Cricetulus griseus: one gene and its partner. The protein of the gene in region 1 binds, or shares a complex with, the protein of each later gene. Links are inferred from orthologs where the notes say so. Each region holds a gene or a part of one and is shown in the gene's direction. Other genes may lie near its edges.

What was found. The genes of interacting proteins can lie anywhere in the genome.
Region 2: Taf12 (region 1) and Taf8 share a complex: the UniProt entries of both Homo sapiens proteins name them as parts of the TFIID basal transcription factor complex. The link is inferred for Cricetulus griseus from reciprocal best matches to the Homo sapiens genes TAF12 and TAF8.

The regions. Positions count from the first base shown.
Region 1 is NC_048595.1:20,972,148-20,976,361, reverse strand, and holds the start of Taf12 (transcription initiation factor TFIID subunit 12), read left to right. Parts: upstream 1-1,315; 5' UTR 1,316-1,549; coding exon 1,550-1,552; intron 1,553-4,214. UniProt on the Homo sapiens protein: The TFIID basal transcription factor complex plays a major role in the initiation of RNA polymerase II (Pol II)-dependent transcription.
Region 2 is NW_023276806.1:256,843,547-256,847,291, reverse strand, and holds the end of Taf8 (transcription initiation factor TFIID subunit 8), read left to right. Parts: intron 1-976; coding exon 977-1,116; intron 1,117-1,384; coding exon 1,385-1,397; 3' UTR 1,398-3,181; downstream 3,182-3,745. UniProt on the Homo sapiens protein: The TFIID basal transcription factor complex plays a major role in the initiation of RNA polymerase II (Pol II)-dependent transcription.

The DNA.
Region 1 (4,214 bases):
CTGTAAATTCGAGGACAGCCTGGTCTACAAGAACTACTTCCAGGGCAGCCTCCAAAGCCAGAGAAACCCTGTCTTGAAAAAACAAAACAAAACAAAAAAAAAAAAAAAAAAAAAGGAAAAAAAAAAAAAGAAAAAGGTTAGGGCTGGAGCTGGTTTAATGGTGCAGAGGACCCGGGGTTTAATCTCAGCAGTCACTTGGTGGCTCACAATCATCTGTAACTTCAGTTCCAAGGCTTCAGATAATCTCTTCTGATTCCTTTGTGTACCAGGCATGCACAATATATATATATATATTATATAAAGCCAAAACCCTGACACTCACAAATTAAATCCAAAAAAAAGAAAGAAAAAGCATTCAGTGCTTTGGATGAGACCGATAGTACGAGGATGTTAAGATAAAAGACTGGGGACGGATCGGTGAAGCTCTTCGCAATTCCTGTGGACGTTCATAGCTGAGATGTCTTCTATACACGTGTGTGTGGGGTCTCCATTTTATTGGGAACCCTGTCAGATGCTGAAACCGCGTGCGTGTTGCTTACATACCTCGTATATTTGGAATAGGGTTCTTTTTAACCCAAAGCATCTAGTGGATTAAAAAGAACCTCAAAGCTCAGAGCTTAACGGTTACAGGACCAACCCAGGCTTTGGAGTGAATTCTCCCTGCGTCTCTTGGGTGGAATCTTGGTAAACTTCGCACAGGTGTCCTCCGCGGTTACACGCCGTACTGCCAGTGGGGGCTTAAGCAGTTCCTCCCAGAGAGCTCTCGCTCAGCTATTTTAAACTACCATTTAACGGGCCCAAGCAGCCTCTCTGGTCCCCGAGTTAGTTCTCGCGCCGCCAGCTCCCCTGTGGGGAATCGCTGTCCCATCCTCAGAGCCACACAAAGGCACCGACCAAAAATGGCGACTCGGGGGCCACCCGAGGCCGTCGGTTACCGGTCGCAGCACTCAGAGACACGATCCGGTAACAAACACCTAGGGCAGGGGCCCACGCCGAGGTGGGAGACGCAGCGCTCGCCCACGCCAGCCGCACGCAGCGGAGAGCACGAGCGGCGAGCGAAGCCCACGGCCAGCCTCACCGCTCAACCACGTGTCGGAGCGAAGTCTGCGCCTGCGCGAGGCGGGCGCGCGCCCGGCGGCCGGAAGAGCCGCGCGTTTCCGGGTTGGAGGCGGGGAGCGGTGCCGGAAGTGCTTGGGGAGGGCCGCGCAGTCGGACCGGCTGCTGAGACGAAAGCTTCACTGGGGCAGTCTCCGCATATCATGGGGAGATAGACGCTGCTGCCTGTGAGTCTTGGGCCCTGGCAGTGGAGGACGAAGAGCGGGAGGAGGGCGTCAGGACCCAGACCCACAGAGGGGCAGTGCTGAGGAACTAGGTTGTGGAGGAGAGACGGGGCTGTGAGGAGCCAGGCTCTTGGGACGCGACTTGAAGGGTTCGGGCTCGCAGGAGCAGCGGCTGTTGGGGACTCGGGCTCCGAACGAGAGAGACTTAGGGGACGAGGACGTGTGTGAGTTCTGCAGCATCTGAGGGAAAGCCGTCTGAGAGGGACTGGATGGTGAGGACCGGTACTTTTTAGGAGGCGAGGGTAGGAACGAAACGGGGCGTGAAGACACGGGCTCCAGAGAGGTAAAAGTGGAGCGGCGAGAGGACTCGGGCTCCTAAGAGACAGAAGCGGGACAGCCAAGTCCCCGCTCCCGAGGATTCAGAAACCGGGCAGCAAAGACTTAGGGAGCGGAGAGACAGAAGCGAGCAGAGAAGACTTGAATTTGGGAGGGAATAGAAACGGGCAGTGAGGACTGGGTCTTCTTTTGGGACGGAATCGGGGCTTTCTTCAGACTCAAGTGTTCCTGAAGGGACAGGGCTGTGAGGACCGAGCTCTTAAAAGTGGAGGATCTAAGGGATCGTGGCTGGTAGATCAGCCTCTAAGGGAAAGAGGTTTGAAAAGATTGAGCAATCTGTTCTCTGTACCCAAAGGGATGAAAGATATATTCGGGGAAAGACTTCTTGTCGCTGCCTATCTGGCTTTTTGCAGTTAGACTTTTCTCTGTCAGATACTCAAATCTAGAAAACCCTCATGAGACATCTTCGTTTTTCTTCTTCATTATTGTGAATCGGATATGAAGTTGGAAGCAGTTTGACCCGTTATATGCTTGATAAGTGCTTTAAGCCCCATTTCATTCAGCCCTTTTGAGTACAGATCTCTGAACCCACAAACTGTCACAGATGGAAGGGCATCAAAAGATCACTTTGAATACTTTTACATTTAAGGAAAGGAGGGTCCAAAGAAGGGTTAGGGTCTCGGTGAGCCAATTCTCAGGTTATTCAGTACTCTTCCATGTGCAGCAAATACCCTCAGACTCAGAAGGGGCATTTGTACAGATTTTAATACTTGGGTTACTATTATAACATTGACATGGATACAGTAAATGTCACAAGTGAGGAAGCAAACCTTTAAGTGAAATCCATTTTATTTTTCAATAAGCTGTTGAGAAAGTCACAAGTAAACGTGGCCTATATTTTTAGCAGGAACATTTGCTAGGGATTGCTTTTAGAAGTGTGACTTGGACCAGCCATTTCCCTTCGTAATATTCATGACTGAAACCTCAGGTGAATCAAGCACAACTTGAGCACTTTCTTTTTGGGGGAGGGGGCGGTGAGACAGGGTTTCTCTGTGGCTTTGAAGCCTATCCTAGAACTAGCTCTTGTAGACCAGGCTGGTCTCAAACTCACAAAGATTCTCCTGCCTCTGCCTCCCGAGTGCTGGATTAAAGGTGTGCGCCACCACCGTCAGTCCGGCAAACTGAGCACTTTTTGTTTAGTTTTTGAGACAGGGTTTCTCTGTGGAGCTCTGGCTGTCCTGGCACTCGATCTGTAGACCAGGGTGGCCTCGAATTCAGAGATCTGCCTGCCTCTGCCTCCCAAGTACTGGGATTAAAGGTGTGTGCCACCACAGATAGCAATTTAAGCACTTTCAAGTATTCCATCACTTCATTATCACAGCTTCACAGTTAAGTATTGTAAGTTTAAGTATGTTCAAAGAGATTAAGAACTTTGTTGCATGAGCCGGGCGTTGGTGGCGCATGCCTTTAATCCCAGCACTAGGGAGGCAGAGGCAGTCGGATCTCTGAGTTCGAGGCCGGCCTGGTCTACAGAGTGAGTTCCAGGACAGGCTCCAAAGCTACACAGAGAATCCCTGTCTAGGAAGGAAGGAAGGAAGAAAGTTGTCTTAAATGTCATAATACTGAGTGCTTTAGCCCCAGATGTGACCCTAAAACTTTTTTGAACTTTTCTAAGTGAATTCCTGTCCTTGTCGACGGGCGGAGGTGGTGCATGCCTTTAATCCCAGCACTCGGGAGACAGAGGCAGGAGAATCTCTGTGAGTTCGAAACCAGCCTGGTCTACAAGAGCTAGTTCCACGACAGCCTCCAAAGCCACAGGGAAACCCTGTCTCGAAAAACCAAAAGAAAAAAAAAAATATTCCCCTCCTTGTCTATGTTGCTTGTCAACAAAATAGAAAGAAAGGTCATACAAAGCCTGCCATTGAATAGATAACATCCCTCTCCTCCTTTGCCCTGCTCCTCCTTTCCCAACCATTTAGCTCCCCCCACCCTGGAAATTGCTAGGTAGACCAGATTGGCCTCAAACTCTAGGTCCACCTGCTTTTGCCTCTGGAGTGATGGGAATTAAAGGCTGCACCACCCGTCACACCCAGCCTCCTCATCTCCTTCTTAACTCCCTTTAATGTCAAAGACTTCACTACTTCTGTAGTGTAGTATTTGAGATCTGATTCCTGCATTTTTACAGAAGCATAGGCATTCAAGGTAAAAAGGAAAAAGGAACATTTATAGACTCTTAGGCTCTTTCCTTACAATAGAGTAAGATATCTGTAATCAGATTAACTTTCCAGTTAACTGCTAACATGCACTGGATGTTGTGGACACTAGGTGTCATGGTGCTTGCCTGAAATCCCATTATTTGGAAGAGGGAGGCAGGAATTTCAGAAGTTCAAGTCAACATGAGCCTATTTCTGAAAAAAAAAAAAAAAAGAAAAGAAAAAGTCAGGTGAGATGGTTCTTCTGGTAAAGATGATTGATTGCCACCAAGACTGATGACCCCTGAGTCCTCCATGGAAGGAGAGAACCAACTCCCAAAATTATCCTCTGATCACATGTGCATAAACTCACTAAATAAATAAAGGAAAAAAGTTTTTTTGTTGG
Region 2 (3,745 bases), on another chromosome or scaffold:
TGCTGCCACTGCTCACTTTAAAGAACAAAAATAAATTAAAAACAAAGAATATGCAGCCAGCCTGGTCTCCAGAGCGAGTGCCAGGATAGGCTCCAAAGCTACACAGAGAAACCCTGTCTCGAAAAACCAAAAAAAAATATATATATGGAAAATAAAGGAGAGTATAAACATTAATAAGGAAAGGAAAGTCAATTACCCATGCATCCAGGACACTTTCTAAATTTAAATTATATATATATATATATGGTCCAAAATCAAACTTTGCTAAAAATTAATAAAGCGCCCGATTGACAGGTGACAGGCATTGACAATATGTACGTGTGGTATCTGCAGACTCTGCTTTGCCTTGCTGGGCTTCACTTCAGAATTCCAGAAGTTCTGGAATATGCTGGAATATGGTTATTTGTCCTTGTTCTAAGTGCAAGAAATGAGAGATTTTGGATAAATGTGTTAGGACTTACACTAGTTTGGGCCTAGAAGAGACCTATTCTGTTCCCTGATTGGTTCTGACCCTGTGTCTCTTACTCCACAATACCCATGGCCACTTCCTTTTGTCACCCTGTTGCGTTAGGCTTCCTCCCTGAAGCATATAAATTCTAACCCTCACTCCAACTTCACGCCCCCCACCTTCTGAAGAGACTAAGGACCCTGGAGTCTTTCACTTTGTCAAAGCTCCCTTTAGAGCTAATTACTCCCCAGGTCTCATTGAGTCTGCGGATGAGATGGTGACCCTGGAAAGACAGTGGCTCCATCTTCTCCTTTCTCAATAAAGAGACCACTTGTGGCTGTGGGCAGTGCAGTCTCTTCACACCACTGGCGGCTGTGGCTGTGGCAGTGCAGTCTCTCTCTCTTCACACCACTGGTGGCCGTGGCTGTGACAGTGCAGTCTCTCTCTTCACACCACTGGCGGCTGTGGCTGTGGGCAGTGTCTCCTCACACCACTGGCGCTCTGCTTTATTTCGGCTTTTACTCAAAGGGTGACTCTGGAGCTGAGAAGGAGAACGCTTCTGTACTGCAGCAGAACTCCTCCTTGTCTGGGAGCCGGAACGGGGAGGAGAATGTCATTGATAACCCCTACCTGCGCCCTGTGAAGAAGCCCAAGATCCGCAGGAAGAAGTGAGTTGGAGGCTGGGGTCCAGGCCTGCCCCAGCTGCTTGTTGGTTCTTGGCAGGAACAGGCTCACCAGTGGGTGCAAGCTTGGCATGCATTACTTGGGCAAGAGGAAGTCATCTTCCTCTGCCTCTCCTCCTTGGCTCCCATATGTACTTGCTGCACTTCAGTGCCTGTGTCCTGCAGCCAAGACCACCCTGCCAGCCCTAGAGCTGCTCCCTCCCAGGAGAGCAAGAGGCCCCCTGGTAGGCTCTCTGGTTCTTCTCCTTTCCAGGTCCCTCTCTTGAGCTGAGATGGAAACTGCCCTGTAAGGGAGAGGACGCCGCTTTCCTGGGGGCGTGAAATCAGAGGGAAGAAGAAGGTGACATCCTTTTGCCCTTGCCCAGGCCATATCATTTTAGTAGCAGCCTTCTCTGAAGACATCCTGTTTTGCAAACAGGCCAGGGGCTGCTGACAACTTCATTGATTAATCACAGGACTTGATTCCTTTGAAACCTGGAGGGCCAGGGAAAGTGGCAGGAAAAAAAGGGTCCACTGCTTTGAGCCCTGCCAGGAAGACTGCCAAGTATATCTTCCAGGCCACCTGGATCCCCTGCATTGACTCACAAGAATCATGGCATTGATTTACCAGCCCAGAGCCTCATCTCACTTCTCTCTGCACCTGGGCTCCAAGATCCCTGCGGAGCTGTTGGAAAGTGACTGTGTAACCCTCATTGTGCTAGAAACAGGCCCACACTGCAGCTTTGATCTGGTGCTGGCAGCAGCTAGAAGTGCATGTCTTAATGAAGATGACAGTGGCCATCAGAGTAGCCTTGAATCTCTGACCAGCATTTCATTAAAGCTGGCCACAGTGGGGGTCATCCCCTTTGGAACATGTGTCTTCTGGGAATGATGGTCTGACCAGAGCCTGGGGTGTGGTTAGTTCTCCTGGGACTGATAGAGGAGCCATGGACTTTAAGCACCAGGAAGAGGACTTAGCAGGTGGGGGTGGGCTTGTTTTGAGGGCTAGGCTTAGCTGAGAAATACAGCTGATGGTGGAATGCCACAGTCTACACCAGAGGAAGTGGGCTGAGAGGGTCCTGCTGAGACCAGACATGTCAAGAAGCGAGTCTGCCCCGTCCACCTGCACCTCCCGGGAAGAAGACGCCATCCTTCACTTTCCCCACTAATCATGTAACATGCCTCAAGGAACACACTGTGCAAGTTGCTGTCCTTGCCTGGTTTTGGAAAGTGGTGTTGGAAAACCAAATCCCAGGAAGAATGGATGGACATGTGGAAATTGACATGAAGTGGCTAAGTCCTTCCTTGGATTGGAACTCTGAGCCTGTGTTTAATATTTCTCTCCATACTCCACCTTGGTGGCTGCTGCTTTTTCACTCTGTCACCCGACACCATGTGTGTTTTTGAGAAAGGATCTTGGTCTATAGCCCAGGCTATCCCAGAGCTCACTGTGTATCCCAGGCTCAGTGGTCTTCCTGCCGCATGCTGCGATTAAGGTGTGAGACCTGGCTCCCAGCACCTTCCTCGCTCTACTCTGGAGTCTTTGGTCCTTTTGCCTGGAGGAAAAAAAGCTCAGTCTGGAATTGATGAAAGGACACGAAGTGGTGAGAAAGTGAGATTTCTGGGCCCTGAACCAAACAGGAGTATTTTCATAGTGACTCAGAACTTCCAGGTCAGAACAAGACCGACACGACTGGATTGTGAGACTTTGTGATATACTTCGCAGCTCATGGCCCATCATCTGAAACCCAGTCCCAAGGTCAGATAGGAGCTGCCACACCTTGCTCTTCCTGCTCCTTCTAGTTCCCACACTTCTGTACCATTGTCACTGTCTGAAGCCAACGCCTGTTGGACATGTAGTGGGAGGTGGGGGTAGGAGGGGCTCCTGCTGCCCTGACCTCAACCGCAACACTGTGATTTGACCTGACTGATGTTGTGTTGAGGCATAGAATTCTCAATGTGTATCTATATATTTCTATTTTTTATAAGTTGGGAGAGGCTTCTTAGAGGAAAAATAAAGTGTCATTTATGAAAGCCTGTAATAAAATTCATAATAAATCTTAGTAAATTATCTGAACCTAGGGCCTTTCAAATGACAGGTAAATAAGTACTATACACTGCTTTTCTTGGGTATAAAACTAGCTTTTTTTTTTTAACTTTTAGTTTTGAGACAAGGGCTTACTAATTTCTAATTTGCCCAGGTTGGCCTTGAACTCACTCTGCAGTCCAGGCATACCTTGAATTTGACAAGTCTTTTGCCTCAACTGCCCCAAATTAGAAAGTGTATAAAACCCTAAAGAGTCTTCCACTCTCAGGAAAAATATCTATAGGGGGAAAAAAAGAAAGATTCCTCACCCAACTTCAGAACTTAGCATTTTGTCATGTCTGTTTTATCTATTTTCCTCTAGTTCTTCTTCCTGTGAAGTTTCTGTTGTTGTGTTCAGGTGCTAGGGCACAGACGGCTTGTGCTTAGTTTGTGAGCACCTGTGTGCACGCTCTGCCCCTCATCTAGACCCTAGACATCTGCAGTGGGTTTGTTTGTTTCTTTTAATTTCAGTCCTGCATCCCTTACTCTGTCAATGTGTCAGTGTATATCTGTGATGAATCTTTGAATTTTCCTTTTGAAGGAATTACA